2 linked regions of the Caenorhabditis elegans genome follow. The protein of the gene in region 1 purifies or fractionates together with the protein of each later gene. This does not show direct contact. Each region holds a gene or a part of one and is shown in the gene's direction. Other genes may lie near its edges.

Evidence for each region.
Region 2: the proteins of cyy-1 (region 1) and pct-1 purify together in Caenorhabditis elegans (affinity purification with western blotting, with the first as the bait; one study listed by BioGRID). This does not show direct contact.

The regions. Positions count from the first base shown.
Region 1 is NC_003281.10:8,399,920-8,412,084, forward strand, and holds cyy-1 (Cyclin-Y), read left to right. Parts: upstream 1-5,954; 5' UTR 5,955-6,023; intron 6,024-6,085; 5' UTR 6,086-6,088; coding exon 6,089-6,187; intron 6,188-6,446; coding exon 6,447-6,531; intron 6,532-6,578; coding exon 6,579-6,653; intron 6,654-6,702; coding exon 6,703-6,819; intron 6,820-6,864; coding exon 6,865-7,007; intron 7,008-7,061; coding exon 7,062-7,181; intron 7,182-7,860; coding exon 7,861-8,027; intron 8,028-8,077; coding exon 8,078-8,240; intron 8,241-8,816; coding exon 8,817-8,921; 3' UTR 8,922-9,487; downstream 9,488-12,165. Other genes in the region: lap-1 (Leucine aminopeptidase 1), read right to left, coding at 7-136, 182-530, 878-1,197, 1,849-1,990; cutc-1 (Copper homeostasis protein cutC homolog), read right to left, coding at 2,604-3,039, 3,372-3,688; ubxn-4 (UBX domain-containing protein 4), read right to left, coding at 3,905-3,994, 4,041-4,515, 4,561-4,668, 4,713-5,238, 5,292-5,502; PITH domain-containing protein ZK353.9, read left to right, coding at 9,577-9,684, 10,117-10,190, 11,103-11,460, 11,846-11,932. UniProt on the Caenorhabditis elegans protein: In association with pct-1, regulates the trafficking of synaptic vesicle precursors in DA motor neurons by promoting anterograde trafficking to the axon and preventing dynein-dependent trafficking to the dendrite.
Region 2 is NC_003282.8:8,179,848-8,192,780, forward strand, and holds pct-1 (Cyclin-dependent kinase 17), read left to right. Parts: upstream 1-4,845; 5' UTR 4,846-4,862; coding exon 4,863-5,538; intron 5,539-5,777; coding exon 5,778-5,874; intron 5,875-5,920; coding exon 5,921-5,972; intron 5,973-6,676; coding exon 6,677-6,922; intron 6,923-7,219; coding exon 7,220-7,351; intron 7,352-7,442; coding exon 7,443-7,855; intron 7,856-8,149; coding exon 8,150-8,378; intron 8,379-8,429; coding exon 8,430-8,588; 3' UTR 8,589-9,035; downstream 9,036-12,933. Other genes in the region: wsp-1 (CRIB domain-containing protein), read right to left, coding at 9,499-9,675, 9,731-9,853, 9,899-10,162, 10,211-10,406, 10,860-11,129, 11,178-11,286, 11,524-11,670, 12,246-12,933. UniProt on the Caenorhabditis elegans protein: Serine/threonine-protein kinase, which, in association with cyy-1, regulates the trafficking of synaptic vesicles in the DA9 motor neuron and probably also in the DD motor neurons and in RIA interneurons.

The DNA.
Region 1 (12,165 bases):
ATATACTTTGCAATTGGGCTGACATTATTCTCAACAATACAGAGACAAGCATGGAGAGTTTGTGAAAAACCGTGTTTGACAAGAGCAGAGTAAGCTTCAAGCATTCCAGCGGCACCTCCCATATCTCTTTTCATATCTGAAAAAATCCATTTTCATAAATAATAATTGAAGTTTTTCATACTTGGCATTCCAGTCTTGGTCTTAATTTGCAAGCCTCCAGTGTCGTATACAACTCCTTTTCCGACAAGTGCAATGTGCTCCGTCGATCCAGGAACCTCATGGGACAAGACAACAAACGCAGGTGGTGTTGGACCAGCTTTTCCGACGTGATAGATTCCGCCAAATCCAGCCTTCAACAGTTCTTCCCCACGGATCACTGTTATTTTTGATCCAGTCGCATTTCCAACTTTGACTGCTTCATCAACAAGAGCATCAGTAGTCAGGATATTGGCTGGAGTATCGATGAGTCTTGCGGTTTCACGGACCGATTCTGAGAGATCAGTAAGGAAAACTGCATCCTCGTTGGTGAGCTGCAAAGAAATTGAATGTTTGTTTTTCAATTAAAACAAAACAATTAATTCGGATTTTGAGATTGAGATCTTGAAGGACACATAACTTTCTTATCAACGGAAGTTCATGAAGACCGCCGAATTTTGCAGAAGCTATCAAATGATTCTACTAGTTCCTCTTTTTTAATTTCGTCACACTACGCAATAAACTCTTATCGTATTTCTACATTATCAGCACACAATTCCAGAAAAGAATAGTCTCCAGGCTGACTTTGCAAATAGAAGCAAGCACATGGTGTCTGCTGTCTATCAGTGATGATAAAACTATACAGATCAATATATCAAAATGAAGGATAGTTGTCACATACCTTGTCGCAAACCACATCGATATTCACATTCAGTTCACGAATTCCTGAAGTTTTCATCGAGAACTTGCAGAAGGTCCGAGCAATAGCCGCAACGTGAGAAAGAACATCTGGATATTCAGCAAACAGCACAAAATGAACATTCTTTGTATCCTCAGGATAGTTGATTGGTTTTAACTCCTTATATATCGAATGAGCATTAGTGGGGGTATTTCCACGTGAAGAGGCATCTGGGACAGTGATCAAATGAGCCAGCTCGTAGTGAAGAGGATGACGTCCTGAGGCGGGGATTCGAGAAATCATAGAGTTCCATGAGTCGCCATCTGAAATTATTTTTATATTATGGAAAAGTATGAACCATCTGCAGATGCAAAATGTTGTTCTCTTTACACCAACCATACGGTACCAGGTCTCGACAAGAGACATTTTTGTAAACTACAGGGAGGTGTGGGTCTTTTAGAGTACTGTAATTTCAAAATCTCATTTATTCTGAATGGTTCATGATTTTCCATACATACCTGTGCGGCATTTGGTTTCGGCATTTGAACAAAATGCACTTTTTCATAAATATGAAAATACGTCATACGGCATACGGCATACGGCATTCGCCATACGGCATTTGGGTGCATATCTCGAGCAGGGGTAAACTTTTTTTGAAATTTTTTTGACTGGTGACAAGCCTAAGAGTCAGGCTTCTCATCGTATGCTATTTCATACATATACGTATTTTCATATTTATGAAAAAGTGCATTTTGTTCAAATGCCGAAACCAAATGCCGCACGGGTATGTTTCCATAGTCTCTTCCGCGCTTTGTTAAAATGTATGTGTTTTTATTTAATATATGTTTAATATTTAGTATGTATATAGATATCTCTAGATATATATGAATTTTTTTAAACGAAAGTGACCATGTACCGTAATTTTGGACAAAAATCAAAAAACATCGCGTTTGTGTAATCTACCAAAACCGAACCTGTAACAAACTTTTGTGCGACTTCTTTGAATTTTCCTTCGAAAGTCACATTTTTCAAGACACTCTTCTTTCCAACAATGATTAGGCTAGTCAGGCCATCTCCAACAGCTTGAATCCCGTTACGAACGAGGACTTGTGTCATTTTTAGGTGACACTAATCACTGAAATTAGAAACTTTGAAAACCTTTTGAATTAAAAAAAAACAAAGTTGGAAAGTATAAACTATAGTATTCAGACTAAAAAAGGCAAACTCTTTTTAGAAAAAAGGTGTAAAAATTATTACTCAAATAAACCGTTTATCAGTTCCTCCAGCAGGTAGAGAAAGAGTGACCAGAGAAACATAAATGCGAGAAAAGGATGATAAAAAATGGCGAGAGAAAATGTAGAGCAAAAAAATGAGAAATTGAGAGAAGGAACAAATCTTCAGGGCGCGTGTTTGCATACATTCGTGGTCTAAAATTTGAGAGGTTGTGAAATAATGAGGAGCGAAATTTAAAATTTTAATTAAGTTCAAATCAACTCCTATATTAAAGTTGCCTAGGCATAAATAAATTGATAACCCTCACAATCCCGTAGAGTAAAAAAACATGCTACTTCGAATATCTAATTGATTAGTGAGCTTCTAAAATTAATAAATAACTTTCGGTACAGAAAAATTCTAGCCAACTAATTGCAAAACACAATGAAAATGTTAGAAACTATGATGAAGCATGCAATATAGACTGGAATATGACATGAAAAAGAATTGAACATAATTAAACGGGGGCCAATGTCGCTTTCAACATCCGTACTTCTTCCAAAGAAGTGACACGTGATGGCTGATTGTCCTGTTTTCCCATTGACACCTTATTCAATGGAGCATTTTTCTTGGCAACAGAAGCTGAAGCATGATACCAGTGACATTTAGTCCATTCGACAAGATTCGCGACATTCGAACTGTTCACACCACAACCTGCGAGAACATCGATCTTTCCTTTGTGAAGTTCTTGCATTTCTCGAATGATATAAACTCCGTCGAGTGCTGACGGCTCTTGTCCACTTGTCAAAACAGCTTTGAATCCAACATCAATAGCGTCCTCAAGACAAGTTTTCCAGTCATAGGCGACGTCAATTGCTCGATGAAATGTGACAGGATGTGGACGGGCAGTTTCAATTATTGATTGACATGATGTACGATCCAATGAACCGGCTCTGAAAATTGAAATTTTTTGTGGATCATCCAGAGCAATCAACCGTTATAATTACAAAACTTCTTTCGTAATTTTGCCGCATGTCTATGCATTTTAAATGTTTTTTAAAAACAAGCTTTCCGCATTGTTCAAAAATTAAGTCAGCCTAAAAATAATTATTTAAATGTTATGTAAAATTTTTATTGATAAACTTGATTGAGAATTTATTTGCGGAAAATGGTGAAAAATTCGAAATGAAACAAGAATATGTTTTTCTTTTTTCATTTAAACATGTTGGAAATAAAATTATAATATATTTATTTGTTTCATTCAATTTAAAACTCTCCGACTTACGATGTTAATGCTCCAAAAACGAATCCTGTGGCACCAGCTTTTTTGAGCCATTCAACGTCTTCCATATTCGCTGCCATTTCGTCTTCATTATACACAAAATCGCCTGCCCGTTGGCGAATCATACAATAAAGTGGAATATCGGGATACTTGTAGCTCAGAATAGACACAAATCCGACGGATGGAGTGAGCCCTCCGAGTTGTAAAGCTGAGCAAACTTCCAATCGATCAGCTCCACCGGCAACAGCATTTTCCGCAGATTCCAGATTATCGATGCATATTTCCAGTTTTATTTGCTTCTGGGATTCTGTTTCTGTCATCTTAACACAATAGAGTTTGAGAAAATATGTTTTTAACATTGTAAAGAATAGGTATAAAGTTATGGTTTAAAATCCGAAAACTCAGCAAGAAAACTGAACATATCTGGGATAAATGAAAACTTTTATTCGATTCGAATTATAAACGAGCAAAAAATAAATTATCCATGGCGATGAACTTTTGGTGTTGGAATCACAGGCGACAAGAAATTTACATTATTACATGAACTGAGTAGAATTTCCATTGAAACTGGCTCGCTCTTCAGGATCGTCTTCATTCGGATTTTCAAGCCCTGCGACGTTTCCACGCTGAAAATAATTTCATTATGGAAAGAAAATAACAATGCACACAAACCCGACGAACTTCCGCACTCCTTGGCATCCCGCGTCTTTGTGGTTGTGATCCTGATTGACCCGATGTAGATGGCCCATCGTTTTTCTTAGATTTCGAGTCTTGTTGTTTTCCGGTAGAATTCCAGCCAATCATACCACAGAAAATATTCCAAAAAGCAGTGAGTGGGTATAAAACCCATGTTACAAAGGATACGGTTTGAGTACTGAGCGAGAAAGATCCATAATTTGAAGAGGAACCCGACGATTTTTGAATTACGACAAGTGCGGTAGAGGGTGTTAATTGATTCTCGAGGAATGTTTTCGAATAGTCATCATTTGTAAATATGCGGCGTGGATACGGTTGCTGAATTTCAAAAGTAGTTCCAGCAATAGAGGGCTTTTGACGAATGATCTCTACGAGAGAATTGAGAACATCATTTGAAGGAAATTCTTCTACAAAAGTAGAACCATCAGGAAGTCGAACTTGTAGACGACACCTACAATAAATTCATAAATTATCAGTTATCAATTAATTTTCTAACCTGTCTGATGGCACAGCCTTTCCAACAGTGGTTTCTTGTTTCTTTTCAGTATTCTCCGAAGCGTTTTCAGTGTTCACAAGTTTCCCGAACTTTTTCTGAGCAGCTTCGCTGAAAAATATTTATATTTTAGAAACACTAAATTAAAATCTTACCGATCAGCTTTAATTTGGGCCAAAATTCGTTTCTTATCACTTTCGGCTGCCAATTTTTCCATCTTCCTCTGTTTCGCTGCTTTGACCAACGCTTCAGCATCTCTTTCCTGTTTTGCTTCGCGTGCTTTTGTCATTTCTTCCTTTACATGTTTGTCGGCCTCTCGCTTCTTTTCAGCATCTTTTTGCTTTTTTTGCTCTAGAAGAGCTTTAGCTCTTGCTACCTTCTCTGCAAGTTCACGAGTCATTTCCTGAGAAGTTGATGAAGATTGAATTGGTGCTGTAACAGGTGTTGGGGCTGGGATTGGGGCATCCGTTGACGCTGGTACTTGGACAGGGGCGGGAGAAGGACTAGGTGTTGAAAGTTGATTTGCAGCTGCTGTTGGCATCCCATTGACGAATTGAGCAGTAGCTTTATCAAATTTGGCTCGGAACTGGTCATATGTTTTTCCAACGAGCGGAGTGATGACTTCCAAAGGTTTTCCATTTTGATCGATTAGATATGCTGCTGGCAGAATTGGTGTAGGATCTAAAAAGATAACATTTTGGCTGAACTGCTATAATTTAAACATTCCAACTTACAAATATCAGCAAACTGCTGGGCAGAAGTTTCACCAGCTTTCAGTTTTATTCCCACTACTGCGCATAAAAGATTTGACGAATCGATATGTTGCCAAAACCCATCGAAAATCTGGCCATCTTCCGAATCCGTGGTGATATATACAATGAGAAGAGCTTTGTTCTTACGGGAAATTTGAATCGCAGTCGCTACGTTGCCACCAAACCACTGCATTCTGTAAATTTTAATATAACTTATCGATTCATGTGAAAAGATACGATTTTCAGAAATCGAAGAGTAAACATTTAGTTATTGAGATAAAATAACCTAAAATTTTCTACAGAAAGCGTTCTTAATTGATTTATTCCAGCAAAATAAATAAAAAAGTGGCTAAAAAATTTATAAAAATAAAAAGACGTCGAATAATTCGTGGAGAGAAGAAACCGTGCGGGGGTTGCATTCCGACTCCGCCTCCTGCCATAAACTCCGCCCACCACCGCTCTCTGCGATTTTTACATTGAAGAAATGGATTTTTCTCTGTTTTTCTTCGCTTTTCTCATAGAAAATATTTGTTTTATATTTAATTTGCAAACAATTTATCAATTAACAATTGAATAAACATTACTAGACAGATTTTTTCTTGTGCTCCGTTCCCCACACTTTATCGATTTTCCATTAATTTGCAGGACTCGCTTCCCAAGTTTCTAGTCACTCCTAATGCGATAATTTTGGTTTTTGGAGATTAAACGTGTTCCGTAAGTTGAAATTAGTAACATTGTCTTTGAAACTTTGAATTTAAACCAATAATTGTTTACAGGTGATGGGAAATTCATCGTGTTGTCTGCGAACGAGGTCGTCGAGCGGAGAGGACAAATCGTATAATAATGATGGACAGTATATTAGAACTAATCAAGTGGAGGTATACAAAGTTATTTTTTGAAAAAGTTTGCATAAATGGAAACTTTGATATCGATTGTTGGAATAATTGTTTTTAATTTAAAAAAAAACTATAAAGCTCTGAAAATATACATTTCGAAGAGAATAATATTTTTTATTTACACAAATTTGGTTTAAAGGGCTTTAATAAGCTTCACGAGTACAAGATTATTTAAAATTATATTTTAAAGGTAAAAATATTCGAAAACCTCTTTCTACAAAAACCTAAATTTAAAATTCAGTTCCAGTATGTCAATCAAGTGTTCCCTCGTGATGAAACATCGACAAACTTCCTTCCTCACATAAGTGAACGAGAGGTAACAGAAGGTAATTATATCACTGAAGTATATATTTTTAAATTCATATTTTTTAAGGATACGAGGAAGATCCATCAACGAATCCAACAGCTCGGCCAACATTTATGGAACGAAGTAAAAGTGAAATGAAATGTAAAATTCTTTTTCTTCTAATCCTTGAATCTATTCTTATCAATTCCAGTAAAAGACAATCGTCGTTCATGTTATATGTTGGATGCATTGGCAGCTGGTGGTCATCATCCCGGAATTTTACCCAGAAGCCTGCGTAAATCAAGCAGCTGCAGTACTATTTATATTGGTAATTAAAGATTTCATAAACATTCTCTGATTTCTCAAATTTTAGATGATTCAACAGTCAGTCAACCTCATCTTAAGAATACAATAAAATGCATTTCTCTTGCAATATATTATCATATTTCAAATCGTAAAAATCGTGGACACGAGCGACTAATGGAGATTTTCGAAGAACGACTTCATCCGATTTTCGTAAGTTTTATCAATCAATCCATAAGTTCCATACATTTTTCGAAGATTTTTCAGAGAGATCCTATACCTCCAGAGCAAATGACACGGGATCCTGATCATCGGAATATTTATCGGTTTGTCAGAAATCTGTTTAGTTCTGCGCAGTTGACCGCCGAATGTGCTATTATTACTTTGGTGAGTTTTTTTTTCGGTTAAAATCTTTTTAAATGAATATCATGAGATTTGGCAAAAATGTATTTGTGTAGAAGATTCGCCTTGTTCTATTGAAAAAATATTAAAAAGACACAACGTTTTGCAATTTTTGTGCCAAAAAAGGTTCAAAAATTTTCGTTATTCGATTTTAATGAAAAATTAAAATTTTCGTTTTTCCGACATTAAAAAATCTAATTTTCGAAAAAAAATAACTTATAAATTTTTGGCCATTATTCTTCTTTTTTAAAGATTTTTTCTGAAAAAAAACAAAGTTTTTCTATGAAAAAAAATGGTAATTTCAAATTCTTTCGACTACGGAATTTTCATTGATTTTTCGTATTTTTCCGATGAAAAATATTGATTTGTTAAAAACTACATAAATTTTAACAGATCATGAGAAAATTAGAAAAAAAATTATGAAAATGTCGGGGATCCAAAGTTTGAAATTACAGTAATCTTTAAAGACGCACACCTTTCCGCATTTATCGTGTCGAGACCATGTACTGTATTTGTAGCGCAAAAAATTCACGCACTGGTAATATTTTAACTTTTCGCTATCGTAGTTGAATTACCCAATTTTGATTTTCTGCTGCCGACGCATTTCTCTTTTCTTTAATAAATTTATCAATTTTGTATAAAAACGCGAAAACCATTTTTTCAGGTGTACATCGAACGATTGCTTAATTACGCAGAAATGGATTTGTGTCCTTCAAATTGGCGTCGGGTTGTACTCGGTTCAATCATGTTGGCATCAAAAGTATGGGATGATCAAGCTGTTTGGAATGTTGATTATTGCCAAATTCTTCGAGATACAAATGTTGACGATATGTAAGTATTTTTTTTATTTGGTCAGAAACCCCGTAATTAAATTATTTCAGGAACGAATTAGAACGGCGGTTTTTGGAATGTCTCGACTTTAATATTGAAGTTCCGTCGTCGGTGTATGCCAAGTATTATTTCGATCTTCGAACATTGGCACTTGCAAATGATTTACAATTACCAATTCAACCGTTGTATAAGGAGAGAGCGCAAAGATTAGAGGTAACCTTTTTGACAATTGATTTTCGGGGAAAAAGTTAAAAATTACCAAAAAAAATTATTTTTTTGTTGCATAAACAAAAAGAAATGTCAATTTTTAGATCAAAGGGGTCTCTGATGTTTTTCTGTTTTTTTTGCAATTTTTTTTCAAAATTTAATATTTTAGTCTATTGGAATAATTGAAAAATTTTCATAGAAAAATCGAAAAAAATATTTTCTGAAAATTAACAGAAAAAATGAATTTTTCATCGAATTATGTCTATGTTGATGAGAAGAAAACATAAATTATTTTCAAAAAAGAGCGATAATGGTCAAAATTAAAAAAAAAAATTTGAAAATATAAATCGAAAAAATACGAAAATTTGCGTTTTTTTTTTCTGTGTAAAATCGAAAAACATATAAAAAAAAAGAAAATAAGAACAAAGAAAAATTGTCAAATAGTAATATCCTTTGTATGCAATAAGATTGAAACATGATTTTTAATGTGCTGTTTATTCTCGAAAAAATAATTCTGAAAGTTTCAACATTTGAAAAAAACTTTTTAAATTCTTCCCAATTTCTTATTCAACAATTTTACAGGCTTTGAGCCGTGTCTTCGAGGATAAGATTCAATCATCATCGCTTCCAAAGCGTGCCCGGTCAGCTGAACATCTTGTCTTTGAGCATCCGGCTGTTCTCTCGTAGACATTTTTTTTTCTAATTTAAATATTTTGTTCAGTCAATTTATTGTAATATTTATAATTCTGTAGTTTCAATGGATTTGCCTTCTTTTTGATTTCAAGAATGTTAAAAGAGAAGGTATTTCCAAAACCGCTACAGTTTATTCTCGCATGTAACTTATTTCAACCTGCCCCAGTCAACCCCAATGCATAATAATTTGAAAACGCCATAATGTTTCTTTTGTATGTCTTGTCAACTGTTAATGTTTTTGCTTCTTCCTTTGCTATTCTCTTAATTATTTCTCTGCACACTATCGTTTTATCTTGAATACGGCTAAATTCGTTTCCTTTGACAAACCCCATCTTGTTTTCCTTCTCAAATTGCTTGTATTTTCAAAAAAAGAAGTTTGTTGGCTATTTAATTGACTCAATACCTATCTCAGAAAATCTCATTTTCTCTTTCTTTGTTTTCTTTCGATCCCTCCAGTATTACAAAATATCTGCAAATACTTCTGTATCACCATGATCAACCCATGTCCTCTTTTGAATAGATACATTTGAATCGATTACAGTAAAATTGTTTTCTGAAAAACTTTTTCAGAGTGTTTTAATATTTGATGGTTGAAAAATACCGATACTTGGCATTTATTCAAAAGTAGTTTAAATAGTTTTTTGTCCAGATGTGTTCACATGGTCATTCTCACAATTGTGCCGCAGAGCACATTCCAGAAGTTCCAGGTGATGACGTGTATCGCTACGATATGGTCAGCTATATTGACATGGAAAAGGTAAACATAAAAAACAAAAATGATTGAAATCAGCAAAAACACACTTAAAACGTTCGAATTTAAAGTTTTCCCGAAGATACCTAACGAGACCCAATGTTTGGGGGCGGAGCGTATTTATTTAGTGTTGGAGCGCGCTTGCACCTCTATGCCAAAGAGGCTTTTTTCTACGTACCCATAAATAAATAATTGAAAGATGCATTGTAAGATGAAACATATAAATATTCTGAGTATCGAAAAAAACAGGAATAGTTTTTCAAGAACTAATTAAATATTCTTGTTCGAAATTAAAATAAAAATTAAATTTAAAATGCGTTAACTGTAACTTCTCCCTACAATCTCACAAAATTAGGAAAACGCATCGCGAGAAATGCCATCCGCTGTCAACGTTTTTATTATTCAATTCAGCAATTAAATTGATACCAATTCTCTCAGGTAACTACTCTCAACGAGTCAGTCGACGGCGCCGGAAAGAAGGTTTTCAAGGTGATGGAAAAAAGAGATGACAGGTTAGCTAGTACATGAGGATTACATTTTTATATAGGATTATTCCGACGATAAAACATTCCATTTTAAAGAGTATTGTGGTAATGGGGAGTATTTTGAAAATTATTTATGTCTACGAAATAGTGGCTAATCGGAAAAAGTTGACAACTCTTCAGTATTACTCACAGAAATTGGTATAAACTTAAATTCCCAGACGTGAAAATTTGTAATTTTGGCGACAAGAATACGGTACCCGGTCTCAACACGACAATTATTTTCCAAATGAGAAAAGATGTGCGCATTTACAGAGTACGGTAGAGTTTATAGAGTACTGTAGACTAACGCTCATTTCTGTCGAATTTTTATCAACATAGTTTTTATTTCACGTTTTGTTCAAATTTATGTGTTTATATTTGAGTTATTAAATATATAAATGTATTTACCGAAAAAAACTATGACAAATCTATGAAGATCCGCAATATCGAACGTTCGAAACTACAGTACTCTCTAACTCTTTAAAGACGCACACATTTTCGCATTAAAAATTTAGTCGTGTCGAGACCGTGTACCGTATTTTGTTAAAAATCTCAAAATTCGCGTCCGGGTAATATGGGACTCAGCTTTAATCACATCTCGCAGCGATCTTACAGTAATCTACCGTACCCGCCACGCAGCCACATAATTTAGATTATTTAAAACAAATAAGTCATATGGTAATGTTAAAGTTTTAAAATTAAACTAGGTATTCTGAAGGTTCGCTAAATACTTTTTCGTAATGAAGATAAACTTAAGTACTTATTGTATCAAATTGCTGACAGCTGTCTTTCTATCTGTCAATAGAACAACCTGAACAACTAATCTGTCAACTAATGCCCCAATGTCCAGAGAAAGAAAAGTATACACGTACATATACACTCTTAAAAATCAAATTTCAGATTGGAATACGTAGAAAGTGATTGCGATCACGAGTTGCTATTCAATATTCCATTCACCGGACACGTTCGTCTAACGGGTCTCTCGATAATCGGAGACGAAGATGGATCACATCCAGCCAAAATTCGATTGTTCAAAGATCGAGAGGCAATGTCATTTGATGACTGTAGTATTGAGGCAGATCAGGAAATTGATTTGAAACAAGATCCACAAGGACTCGTGGATTATCCGTTGAAAGCTTCAAAGTTTGGAAATATTCATAATCTATCGATTTTGGTAGATGCAAACTTTGGAGAAGATGAGACAAAGATCTACTATATCGGATTACGTGGAGAATTTCAGCACGAGTTCAGACAAAGGGTAAGGAAAAATTTGAATATTAGCCAGACGCGAAATATTTTTTCACCAATGGGTCTCGACACGACGAATTTGTGAAAGGAGAAAAGATGTGCGTCTTAAAAGAGTACTGTAATTTTTAAATCTTGTTAGATACTGCAGAAAGTTTTATTGATTTTTCTGGATTTAAAATTTTTATTATTGAAAAACTTTTTAAAAAAATTTACATTTTTTTAAACGTCGAAGAAATGAAAGTTTTAAATACCGTACTCTTCAAAGGCGCACACCATTTCACATTTTACAAACAATCGTCGTGTCAAGACCAAGTACTGTATTTTTGGTGTAAAAATTGCACATCTGGCTTTTACAGAATTTTAATTTGTCGCCTCGGAAAAAAACCAATTTTCAGATTGCAATTGCCACATACGAATCAAGAGCTCAACTCAAAGATCATAAAAACGAGATTCCAGATGCTGTTGCCAAGGGACTTTTCTAAAATAATTAATTATTGATTACTTGTGAATTCGTTAGTGTTAATCAATCCACGTGGTTTCATATTGACTACCAGTATTTTCGATTGAAATGTTTAAATTGTAACAATACACGACATTTGTCGGAAAGTATGTCCCTCAAATTCTTCTTTGAAGTAAATTATTTCTCTCAATTGTCTTCCGTCTACCGTAATCCATTCCACGGGCATCTGCATCTTCAATCTTCAACGCCCAGCAG
Region 2 (12,933 bases), on another chromosome or scaffold:
CATTTTTCCTTATTTCCAAAACCTTCTGTCCCGTGAATCTCCGTTGCAGGCAATAAAGTAAGACGATGCTCATGGTTTTTTCCTGGGTTACTGTAGCTCATAGTGAATGATGGAATAGAGTTTGTGGGTTTTGTTTCCTCCAAATAATAATTGATCAAAATACATCAATAGAATATAATTATCAGATATCAATGTCAAAAAGAACACCTTTCAAGACGTGCCATTAACTTTTTTTCCAAATTTTGTTGTTTATGTCCTCTGTGAGCACAAATACACAAATGAAATGTTGTTGCCCTACCAGATGTGGCTGTCTTCGTCGTCTTTTTCTTCTACTCGCCCCTGTCCCTCCATTCAAAAACTATTGTTTCACTTTTTGTCTGTGATCTCTTTCTCCCATTCCAAAACTCTTCTGAACTTTTCTTATTTTTTCTTAAAGTCGGTTTACGGGCGTTCACACAGGCAAAAAAAACATTTCGGAAGGTTATGAGAAAGACAAACACTGTTATAAACCTATTTTGTTTTATACTATGTGCCCTTCCGAAACATTTTCTGTATGCAAATCTGATCATTCCATATGCAAAAAATGACGTTTGTTGTGCTTCAAAATTTTATAAATGATCTTTTGAATTGAAAATTTTATTTGAAATGGTTTTTATTTCGGAAAAATTGAATATCTGAATAATTGTAAAAATTTAAAATTCTGAAAAACTATGATTTGTTCATTTTAGCACCATTTGAGTAGTTTTATATTTAAACCCAGACGTCTCATTTTGTGGTTTCGGTGTTTTTTATTGAATTTAAAATTCAAAGGAAAAAATAAATTATTTTGGTTCATGAACACATCGAAAGACCTCTCCTCATCTTTCATCTTTCCGCAGCTGTTTCGCACGTATTAACTACAGTTTTATATCCCTCGATGAGGGCGGGTTTCTCGACACCTCCTCTGAACTTAATTACCCCCAGTTCAATTCATTTCGAGTTCAAATTGATCATAAATTGAGCCTAAATTTGGGCGAAATACTGGTTTTATTGCTGAATTCTTTCTGCGTTTGGTATGTGTTTTACAAAAACTGAATAAGTTGATATAGGAAATAATTTTCTAAAAAGAAAACTTGAATTTCCATTTTATAAACTATATTGAAAGGGTCCACATGCGGTTTTCATGAAAATTTGAAAGTACTTTCGAGTGCTCCTTTCTGCAAGATGTCCTCTTCTTCCACACTACTTCCACATTATATTATCCGTCGAATGTTTCTTTTGTTCACCTCCCCGCCGCGATGGCTCCGATGTGTGGAAGAAGTAAAGCCCATCCATTTCAACCCCGAAAACTTTTTTTTCGCATTTTTATTTTGTGTATGTGGATGTGCGTGTGCGATGCTCCTCTTCAAACCAAGACTTATCCATCAAAATCCGTTTGGAGCTGTTGGGTTTGGGGTTCCAAATTTCATTTTATCAGTATTAACCAACATAAAGTCTCTAAAACGCCAGCTCACATTAATTCAAGGTTCCTGATTTTATTTAGAATAACTATAATAGTTATTAATTCTGATCTATGTTTTAAAAAGAACACTTCGAATCTTATTTCTCACTCTGAACTTTCTCTGCTCTCTAAGTACCTCCACTTTGGCTCTGTGCTCTTTTTTCCCAGCCTTGCTTTTACATCTTCGCACAATCTTGCTGCTCTTTCACACTGAATTCCTGCAAGAGCGTCAGAAAGGTTAGAAGACGTGCAAATTGTGTTAAGATTCAACAGCTTCATCTTCTTCTTCTTCGTCCCTAGTTGTCCTATTTACTCTCTCACTCTCTTTCCTGTGTAACAATCACCTCAAATTGAGCATAACAATGCTCATTCTGTCCACCGCTAATCGACAGCCAATGGACGACGTTCAATATGACGTCCAAGTCGGGAGTGGAGGAAGTAGGCAGCAGTCAAAAAAGGTTAGGGATTACGGAATGTCAGGTTTTCTTCCTCGTTCGTTCGCTCCTGCTGTCAACGTCTTTTGCATCATACGGGTATATATTCAGCAGACCCAGAATGTTTTTTTCCAAGAAAGTATAACTTATTTTTTTCAAAATTCTCATAGGAAAATCAAGATTGATCTCTTTTTGTCCCCATTTTGGTCGAAATAATACAATCACACTCCCTCCCTTTTCTCCTTGATTAGCAGTCATTTCTCTATCCCCGTCCATATATATTTATTGTTGTTTTTTGGTCGGCGATGCTCAGAGGACAGTAGGAGGAGGAGCTTTTTTCTCTTAGAATGAAATTAATTAAATTCGAGAAAAAAACGAAACGAAAGTAGTTCTACAAGGATAGAAATAAAACATCGCAGAAGATTTTATTTAATCAGAAAAAAATATTTAGAAATAAAAACCTACTTTATATTAGTAGTTAATTGTGAATAGAGAATAAAATCTATATGGTTCATTAAGAATTCCATTTTAGGATTGAATATTGACTAAATAAAATTCATTCCATCATTTTTATTGTCCAAGTCGGTTTGGATAAAAAGAGCAAAACGGGAAGCGGCTCATGGAGACTACTCAAAGGTGGTTTCCCAACGAAGCACACGCATTTCGAATTTATAATTGACATCCTAGACAGATTTTGCATATGGAATGAACCTTGTGGTAGTCTCAATGACATAAAGAATCGGGGCACTTGTTTCACAACTCTCATCAATTTCTGATTGATGCTCTTGACCCCTCTGTCTATCTGATCGTTATTCATTCCGACCCGGAATCACTGCTCAGTGCAGGAGACAAAAAGTGCGGTAGGCCAGTAACTTTTTATTGGTGTATCCTCTCTTGTTGACAATCGCGCGAATGGAAAGTTTACACCAATCGAGTGCCTTTTTGACATTCAGTGACCGCATGGGTGTGAACAGATGTGATTTTAATGTAATAACACGCGGCTCAATAGAGCGGTGATTGGGAGCACGGACGTCGTCTTCATTCATCCTCCGACGTTTCCTGCTGTGTGAGCAGATGACGTGGCGGATAGTAGAAGAAGACGAGCGCTTGTCACAGGCAATTCAGTCCCTCAGGACATTCAAGATTTTGGCATTCGGTTTTTGAGATTTTGAGTTCACGAGGTCTAAAGAATTAGAAAGAGGTTTTTGTAATCAATTGTTATATCATCCCAATATTGTGTAACCCGTAGTCGTAGTTTTCAGTTTCTATTCTGCATGTTATTTTCACAAGAATTCTGAAAATATCATGTCTTATTCATTTGGTAATTATTTTCCGCCAACGCCTTATTCCCTTCTCTCGTTAGCATTACTATTCAAGTCTCGAAGACGACGACAACGACGTCATGACAAACAAGAGAATAAAAACTAGAGACTTCTTTTGAAAAATAGTCTGGAGAAATGAGAAAGAAAATATATATATTCGTCTGAAAAACCTGGAGCCTCTTCATTCTGAAAGTTGTATCGGTTGCTATAGAACGACGTGGGCTCTGTCATAGCAGGAGCAACACTAGGCGGATTAGTTAGGCAAACTGAGAGGCGAGAGAGGGGAAGAAGTGCTCATAGAAGGGGCGACACAGGGGGGCTCCTCCCCCGTTACTCTTCTCCTATCGACACTGTGCTCACTCTCTGCTCTTCTCACCCCTGGCTTACACGATGTCGTTGCCTTCGTCCACTACTACTACTCTTTCGCTCTTTTCTTCGTATCGTCTGCGTTTGTGCACCACGCCTCCATCCGGAGCTCTCTAGCTTTTGTCTGCGTCTCGTTTAATATTCAACGGAGAGAGATGGAAGGATATTCTAGTTTGCGAGCCGAGAGCTGCGCACACGCTATTCATGCTCGAGTTTACTTCTACGACGAGACGCCTGACGCCGTGCTCCGTTGGCTCATTAGAGGCACGACAAGTTATCTCAGCAAATGTGTTTTTGCACGCCCACAATCTCGTTTATTTTTTCATCTGAAAATAGAAGCGTTCTTTTGCAACACAATAAGTTACTCTTGGTCATTCCAAAAAAACAGTAAGTAATATGATGCTAGTTTTGAGCAGATTACGTAGTTTCTACACGATTTACTCAGTCTTTTGTGACTTATTCCATATTTTTTTCAACAAAAAAATCAAGTGGTCACGTCACTTTCTCTTCTTTTATGTACATTTCGGATAGGTGTCCGCATGCAAGCTCCCTCAACCAAAACGTGAAAATTTGAGGCTTCGATTTTATTTTTCAGTGGAAAATTCGTATTTTTCATCTTCCTCTCAGTTGGTCTTACAAAATTGTAAATTCAGTTACAACTAATAGAATTGGAGGTTTTTTTAAGATAAATTAGTTGTGACAACTTTCAAATCGGTGTTATGAACTCATTTTCACACCATTATCATTAGACATTCATCGACACTTCTTCTTTTCCATCTATCCTCTTTCTTCTCTCATCATCATCTTCCTTTTCTATACTCCATTTTCTTATTTCTCCTTCATCGTTTGAATTTCCGTTTCAGCTTGCTTTTTTAGCCTCACTCTCAGTGAATTGAAAACCGGGAAAGCATCAGAAATTCATCGATTCGTACATGATAAATTCTTGTTCCGCCATTTCTATGCATTCGAAATCTGAAAATCAAAACCAACGATTTTTCAGGACCACTTTTATTACTTTTGTCTAGTGTAACTTTTGAAAATTATCAGTACAATTATGTAACGATTTTGATTTCCAAGGTTCTAAACTCCTTACATATAGATTTATAGATTTTGTTTTTCTAAATTTGAAATTAATCCTAAAAGAAATCCCTTGCCATTAAGCTCCTTATTTAATTGTATACTTTCTCATTTCCATCGTTCTGTTTCCTTCATCCCGCTCTCTTGAACTCTATCAATTTAATTCAGTTGTCCGCCAAGTGCATGACCGCGTACTCTCCGGCGGATTCGAACGCCGAGGCGCGTCTTCTGTCAGGAGGTTCGGACCCGATCTCGGATACTGAAAACCTATTAGATCTTGCATATGAAGTTGGAACGTCATCATCTGATAATACTCGATACGATAGAGAAAGTGAAAATGATGAAGAGGAAATTGGTGTTGGATGGGAAGATACAACATCTTCGAGTTTAAATAAAAGAATGTGCAAATCAGCGACATTTCATGATTTTTGTGATGATTCTGAATATTCGAGACGTCCGGTCACGACTTTACACGAAGAAGATTTTGATGAAGAAGAAGAGGACGAATTTGAAGATGCAAGTGATCGAAGAAATCTAGACGAGGATGATGTAGAATATGAGGATGAAGATGATGAAGATGATATTGTTGTAGAAGAAGAAGAAATAACACCTGAAGATATTGAACATTCTCCAACAGGAGTTACAACTCAAACAACTCCTCCATCTAATAATACAAGTAAATCAAAAAAGAAAAAGAAACGAAAATCAGATGAAGAAGATGGGCTTCGAAAAATGAAGAAAAGCAGTACATTTGCTTCTTTTCTAAACATGTTCGTGTCCAGAAGACGTTCCGGAAGGGATTCTGGTGAGAGACTCATGTCTCGTAGCACGTGCATGTTAAGGCCAAGCATTTCATTGTGTAAGTTTCCAATGAATGAAATTTGTCTTGACATTCTTTTGAAGGATTTAAGTAGAACACAAAAATTTCTCAATTTTTGTAGTTTTGTAATTCAAAACCACTTCTTATAAGAGTCATCTATGACGTAACTGGAGCTAGTAATCTGAAAAGGAATGGTTATTAAAAAAAGGATGTACTTTGTATATGTGACTAGTTTATAGACTGAGTAAAATTGAAGCCAATAACTTGACAATTTACAGCGGTTGTCCAAGAATCGATGATTTTGGGATCAGATGGAGAGAGTGTTGAAGTTTCTCCGTGTACTTCTGATCAAACGCCAACAGGTGTTCCTCCTAGGTAATTGATATTTTATTATAATATTATGTTAATTTTCATATTTCAGATACATTGTGAACGTGAAAATGCGACAGAAGACAGCTAGAAAGTGGAGTGAGGTATGGTTTTACTTAGTTGAAAAGTAATTGTTCAATAATTGAATAAAATGATTTTTACTAAAAAAAGTTTTGACCGGAGTAACACAATTTTTTTTGAAATATGAAATCCAAGAAAAAAATTTAAATTCTTTAAATATTAAAAAAAAAACGTTCGTATTCTCGATTCTAAATTCACATGCCTGAAAATAATTTTTTTAAATTGTGTTTTTTTGTCCGAACCTATATTTTTTAAACCCATATTTGAAAACAGAACATCCTTATTTTAGAATTAATTCAAACAGCGAAAACTGCCAAAATTAAAAAATCTAGTTTTTCCTTTGTGGCATTTCTGAATTTCAGACTTTTTAAAAAAGTATTTTGAGGCAAAATATTATTATTTTTCCTTTAAATCTGAAACATTTTGAAAATTAAAAAAATATATCGGTGGCCGATTTTCGCAAATTGCTCAATTTCGAAAAAAATTGGTTTTTTTTTCTGTAAGTACTATTCTATGTTTAAATTGAAATTGTGTTATTTGTGATTTTTGAGATGTTTCTCGAATGTCATGAGATATTCAACTCTGTCTATTTTAGGTTATTACCACGAGATGAGCCGGAAATTGAACCGGAAATCTATCGAAAAAAAAAGAATATGCATCACACTGAAATTCATATAATATTTCTAACAAAAGACTTGTTTTTATTTTGCGTATATTTTTTTTTCAGGAGGAAATCCAAAAGCGACTGTCACTTCCTGCAGATTTGCGTCTTCCGGTTGCAGTTGTCGACAAGCTTAACAGAACACCAACATTGGATCAACCACTGACACGAAAGAATCGAAGAGCATCACTCAGTGAAATTGGCTTTGGAAAATTAGAGACTTATGAGAAATTGGATAAACTCGGTGAAGGGACGTATGCTACCGTATTCCGAGGAAGATCCATTTTGACGAACAAGTTTGTGGCACTAAAAGTGAGTATTCAGAGACAAAAAAAAGATTAAATTTCAAGATGAGAATAGGAAATTAATTTCCACTATGACATCAAGCTTCCGCTTTCGGTTTTATTACTTGTATACCAATTTTTATGTCCAACACAAATAATTTTCCAGAAATAGGAATTTTAGCTTCTTTTTCAAAAGAAAAAAGTGTTAAAAAACGTAATTTAATGTTTTCGTTCTTATAAATAAAATAAAAAACAAAAAATAAAGTCAGTTTCATTATATTTCTCAAAATTTTAAAAATTATCATTTACAAAACACATTTTTCAGGAAATACGTTTGGAACAAGAGGAGGGAGCACCATGCACAGCGATTCGCGAAGTTTCGTTATTAAGGAATCTTCGACACGCGAATGTTGTTACTTTACATGATATCATTCATACGGATCGGTTATTAACATTGGTATGTTATTTATTTTTAGAATAAAGAAAATGAAAGAATCTGAAAAAGATTCCCGATTATTTATTTTCGATTCATAAATTTAATTTTGAAGGTATTCGAGTACGTGGATCGTGATCTGAAGCAATATATGGATTCATGTAACAATGCAATGCAAATGAATAATATTCGACTCTTCCTTTACCAACTTCTTCGAGGACTCGCCTACTGTCATCAACGAAGAGTTCTTCATAGAGATTTGAAACCTCAAAACTTGTTGATTACTGCAAAAGGAGAGCTTAAACTTGCGGATTTCGGACTGGCACGTGCCAAGTCCGTACCGACAAAGACGTATTCAAATGAGGTTGTCACATTATGGTATAGGCCACCAGATGTTCTTCTTGGTTCCACTGATTATTCGACACATATTGATATGTGGGGTGTTGGGTGTATATTGTTTGAGATGATTGCTGGAAGAGCTCTTTTCCCAGGTGGTACACCAACAGAGCAACTTGGACTCATTTTTAGGTGAGTATTAATTTTTTGCATCCAGTTTCATCTTTTTCGTTTAAAATCTTCAAATTTTTAGTTTCTGAAGATGTTTAAAAACTTCAAACTATTACGTAGATGTCTAAAATTGAAATTTTTGTCATATCTTACCCGCGTGGGTCTCACACAATGACAACGGGTTACGGTAACTCATGTCGATATGGGCCTATATTGCACTATAATTTCCGAATTAAATGAAAAATTGCTGCCAAGATTTTTTACATTAAAATGTCGAACATTTTAAAAACAAACTCAAAATAAATAAATCTTCAGAACACTTGGATCTCCTCGACCGGATCGACATCCGACAATATGCGAAAAGCCAACATTCTATCCATACGCTAACAGACATTACAATCCAGATCCACTTTGCCGTCAAATTCCACGGATTGATGCTCACGGATTCGAATTGCTCATGAAATTCTTACAGTACGAAGGAAAAGATCGAGTGTCGGCTGCTGAAGCTGTGAAGCATCCGTTCTTGAGGACGATCGCTGTGAAGGTAAATATCAGTTCTAGATCGGAAGTTTATTGAAAATTCAACAAATTTCAGTGTTGCCACCTGCGAGATGAGCAATCTGTCCTAGAAGCTGATGGTATTCACATTGAAAGGGAACTTCTGGCATCAGATCATCATCACAGCTCTCGTCGTCATCATCGTGGAACTCTTGTAAAAGATAAATATCGAATGCATTCGAGTCATCACACTTAGAAATAATTTTCTCAACAAAAAAAAACATATTTAGAATTAAATTTGTTTCTTTTTTCCCCATTTCATCTCAGATTGTGTTGCACTTTTACGGGTTCTTGTCAACCAATTCCGATTCGTTTCCTCCCAACCAAAATGTCCTTCCAATGCGGTCACTTATAGATCAAGATGTTTATGAAACATGTTTCCTAATAATTTATTGTGTAATATTTTCTCTTCATATCCCGAGACTCCATCATTCTTCTTAGAATTTTTCCCGTTGTTTCCCGTAACCAGTAATAGCGATTTTCAAATTTACATTTTCTGTTCATAAATCACACAAAAATCTACAAAAAATCATCTCATAATCTCAATTTGTTCCCAAAAAGCACACAGAACCATTTTTTTTGCTATTTATTTTAGCCGTTATTCTTATTGTACACCTGTGAATAAACAAGCTCTACCCGGAAAGCTTCTACTTCTCATCGAATTGGAAACAAAAATTATTTATGTGGATACCCAGAAAAATGATAATATGCAAAAAAATTATGAGCGTTTCTGCTGTAAGTCTAAAAAGGGACAATGGTTTTGGATGAGAGGGGAGCATCACAGAAAAATCTACGGGAGAAAAACAAGAAGACTGGTTGAGTTTTAAAAGTTTGTTGGTATTTCGGGTGTGTGGAAGGGGGCTTACGAAGAGAAATTCACACGGAATAGGCACTGATTTGGAGAAAAAAAAAAACTAAATGCACAAGTTTTACAAATTCGTCACTTTCAAAATGTATGATAATTTATCTTGGAAATTGACGATTCTGTAATTTTTCAAATCAAGAATTGTACTTGAGGGACTAAAATTACCCTGTTTCACACGGGATTTGCACAGAAAAAGGAAACGAAAAATGGAAGGAAAACAAGTTTAATGAGATAATTTAGTCTAATCTGACCATTCATTTTTGTCATCTTCATCGTCATCATCATCACTAGTATCATCTATTCCCATATTCATTCGACGTTCCTCAAGAGCCTTTGCTAGTGCTCCAGCCAATCCTCCCATTCCAGCGGCTCCAGAAGTCGTACTCTTTCGACGTTCTTGCTCAGCAGCTGCATCCACCTAAAGTTTAAAAAAATTGGAATCAATAGTAATTTTCGGTTAAAAATTGTCTTACATGTTTTAATTGTGCTCCTTGTCGAATTTGGGCCATCACATCTCCACGAGCATCACCACCAGCCGATTTTGGTGAATCTGCAGTTTGTTGAACGGATCGAAGTTGTTTTCCAGCTTGGATTTCCTGAATACAAAATTCAATAGTGAACATTTTTAAAAGTATACTAACCGCTAGCAAATTCGATCTTCCATCCTGAGCAGGTGGTAGTTTTGCGAGCACCGATGCAGGTCCTCCGGCTCCTGAAGGTGGTGGTGGAGGTGGAGGGGGTGGAGCTCCTGCTCCTACTGCTGGCAATCCCATCGGTGGTGGAGGAGGTGGTGGTGGAGGAGCTGCGGATGATATCGGAGCCATTCCAAATGATTGTGGTGGTGGAGGGGGTGGAGGTGGTGGAACCGCATGTGGTCGATTCTCTGGGGTTCCATAGTTGGGCGCCTGAATATAAATTAATTTTTTTCAGAAAATCACTCTCCGGTTACTTACTTGAGGTAAAGGTCTTGATGGTGCAATTCCACGGGTACCAGATGACGGTGGTGGAGGAGGTGGACGAGCTGGAGCCAATCCATGAGATTCGACACGTGTTGGAGGTGGAGGAGCGGCAGGTGTGGAATATGATGAAGCACCGCTTCCAATCGGAGCAGATGATGGGAATGATGGTTTGTATTGACGCACTGGTGTTCTGAAAATTTTTTTTTCATTTAAAAATAAAACTTTTTTGTTATCGTATTTCTAATATGGCTGAAATACGCCCTCACCAAATGCAACACTAATTTCATTTCTAATATTTCTAGTATTTATATTAAATATTTCATAATATTTCTGGTTCTCAGCTACAAAAAACAGTAGTCGTAAAATATATTCAAGGGTTAACTGTAACAGAAACATATTACTTTTAACTTTTTTTGTAAGTTTGCGGAAAAAAAACTACATCGAAAGCATTTCGGGGGAGAATAATTGGGATTGCGTTGCCATTACTCTTTTTCATGGTCCGACATCTACCGGGTTTCGACTCACACAGCGCATATGCATGTATCTTCACAGGGGCGAAACCCAGTAGATGTCGGACCATAATTAAATTTATTTTTTCTGGTTTGGAGTTATTTTTTTCCGAAATGAAAACAAAAAAACTAACTGATTCCATGACTGATTCATCTGTGGATGTTGCTGAATTGGTGGTGGAAGAGGTGATGAGATTTGTGATGGATCCAAACTTCCAACAGATACATATTTATCATAGTTCTTGGCAATGAATTTTTTCACGAATTTCTTATCATCCTCATTCAGATTATTGCTTTCCAATCCAGCAGCCTTTAGAATATTTTTAGTAGCTTCATCCATATCATCGTCGTAAACTGTATTCGAGAATCCACTATCCTGATTCCATCCAACATGAGCTTTATGTCTGAAATATTTAGTTTAATTTAAACCATTAAAACGGAATAAATCTCACTGAAAGTTTGTTGGATTAGAAATATCCTCTTTCTTAATTTTCGATTTTTTATCCTTCTTTTTGTTTTTATCTTTCCGGAACCATGATCCACTACTGCTAGCATTTCCATCTGTAAATATTGAAAATATTTAATTAAAATTAATGTTATTTTTTGAAGAGATTTCTCACCAAATTTATGTAACAATCTTTTCAATTTATTAATCATTAAAATATGAGCAAATTTTGCAAAGTATGCATAAGAAATGAGATATAAAATGTGATTTTTTTTAAGTTTACGTAATTTTATTCAGAAATTCAATTACTGACTACGAGAACATCATTTTTCAATTTCCAAAAAAATATTCACCTGTATGTGTATGTGATTGTGGTGCAGCAGCCATAGTTCCCATTTGTGTTATCCCTTGACCTCCGCCAATTGCCATTGGAGGTCCTCGAATTGTTCCTCCATAAGCCTGTGTGATTTCGAATTGTCGTGTTGGAGTGGATCCGATTCCTGAAATAATAAATTATTAAATATAGAAGTTCTCACTGTCAAGTGCTCTGTTCTTTTTCATTTCAATTCGATCACCCAATCAGTTAAAAATCATCTTTCTCTATTCTCCAGCATTTCTGCTCAACAATGATGTTCATGTGCTCTGAGCGCTTGAAGCCGATCAAGTACTCGGTCGGCGGTGCTCATAACATGACATGAACACAAATAATCGGTCCGAATTTCTCGCCATCCTGGGTTGGATGTTTGCTTTCCAAATTTGTGTGAAAAACTCTTATAGAACCAGATTCTGTCTATCAAATTGATCAACTCAAAGAAAAAACGATAATATGGAAAGATAGTGATCAAGTAAACAAAAATATTATGATAAAGTGCAAATACACATCATGAGTTCAACTTGTTGACACTTCCTATACTTTTAGAAGTTTCGAAAAACTAAATTCGTTTTTAAATTTTCAAGCTTCACAAGCTGTGTAATTTTTGGGAGATTTTAAAAGGTTTTAGAAACTATTGTAGAAGAGTAAAAATGATGAGGTGAAGATTCAGACATCAGAATATTTAAAGTCTGTAAAACAAACCATTAAGCGAAATTGATGTCGAACTAGAACTTTTCTTCACTAATCGATGCCTTGCAGGTGGATGAGATGGAATTGGTGGTGGAGTATCTGCTTCTACAGATGATGGTGTTGCACTGCTACTCTCTGTACTACTATCACTTCCTCCAGAACAGTAGATAGGTTCTTCTTTCTTTGTGACCATAACAGATACTTGACCATTTGATCGATGAACTAATACGGAATCAGAATGAGGTGCAGGATCAGGATTCATCGATACTGATTCATAATCGTCGTCTTCGTCACCGAAGTCATCCGTATTGAATACGTGTCGAGAACTCACATAGTCACCACGAGATACTGGTTCTTCTGGGATATGAAATCGTACCTTATTTCGAGAAAGTGGGGGTGAATAGTCTGGATCAGGACTCGGAGCTCTATGTCGACGAGGTTCTTGATGATGATGTGATGATCGATGACGAGGTCGGAATGCTAGCTGCTGTTGTTGCTGCTGATGATGTTGCTGTTGTAGTTGCTTTTGTTGATTGTGATAGTAATAGAATGCATCAGCAGATATTGGAACATAACATCTTGCATAGTTCTGACGCCTTGCATATGTACCTGTGGATCCTCCATACCTTGTTGAATATACTGGATCTTGGTATTCTGCAGATGAGCTTGTTGAGCTTGACGTGGAATCAGGACCTCCATA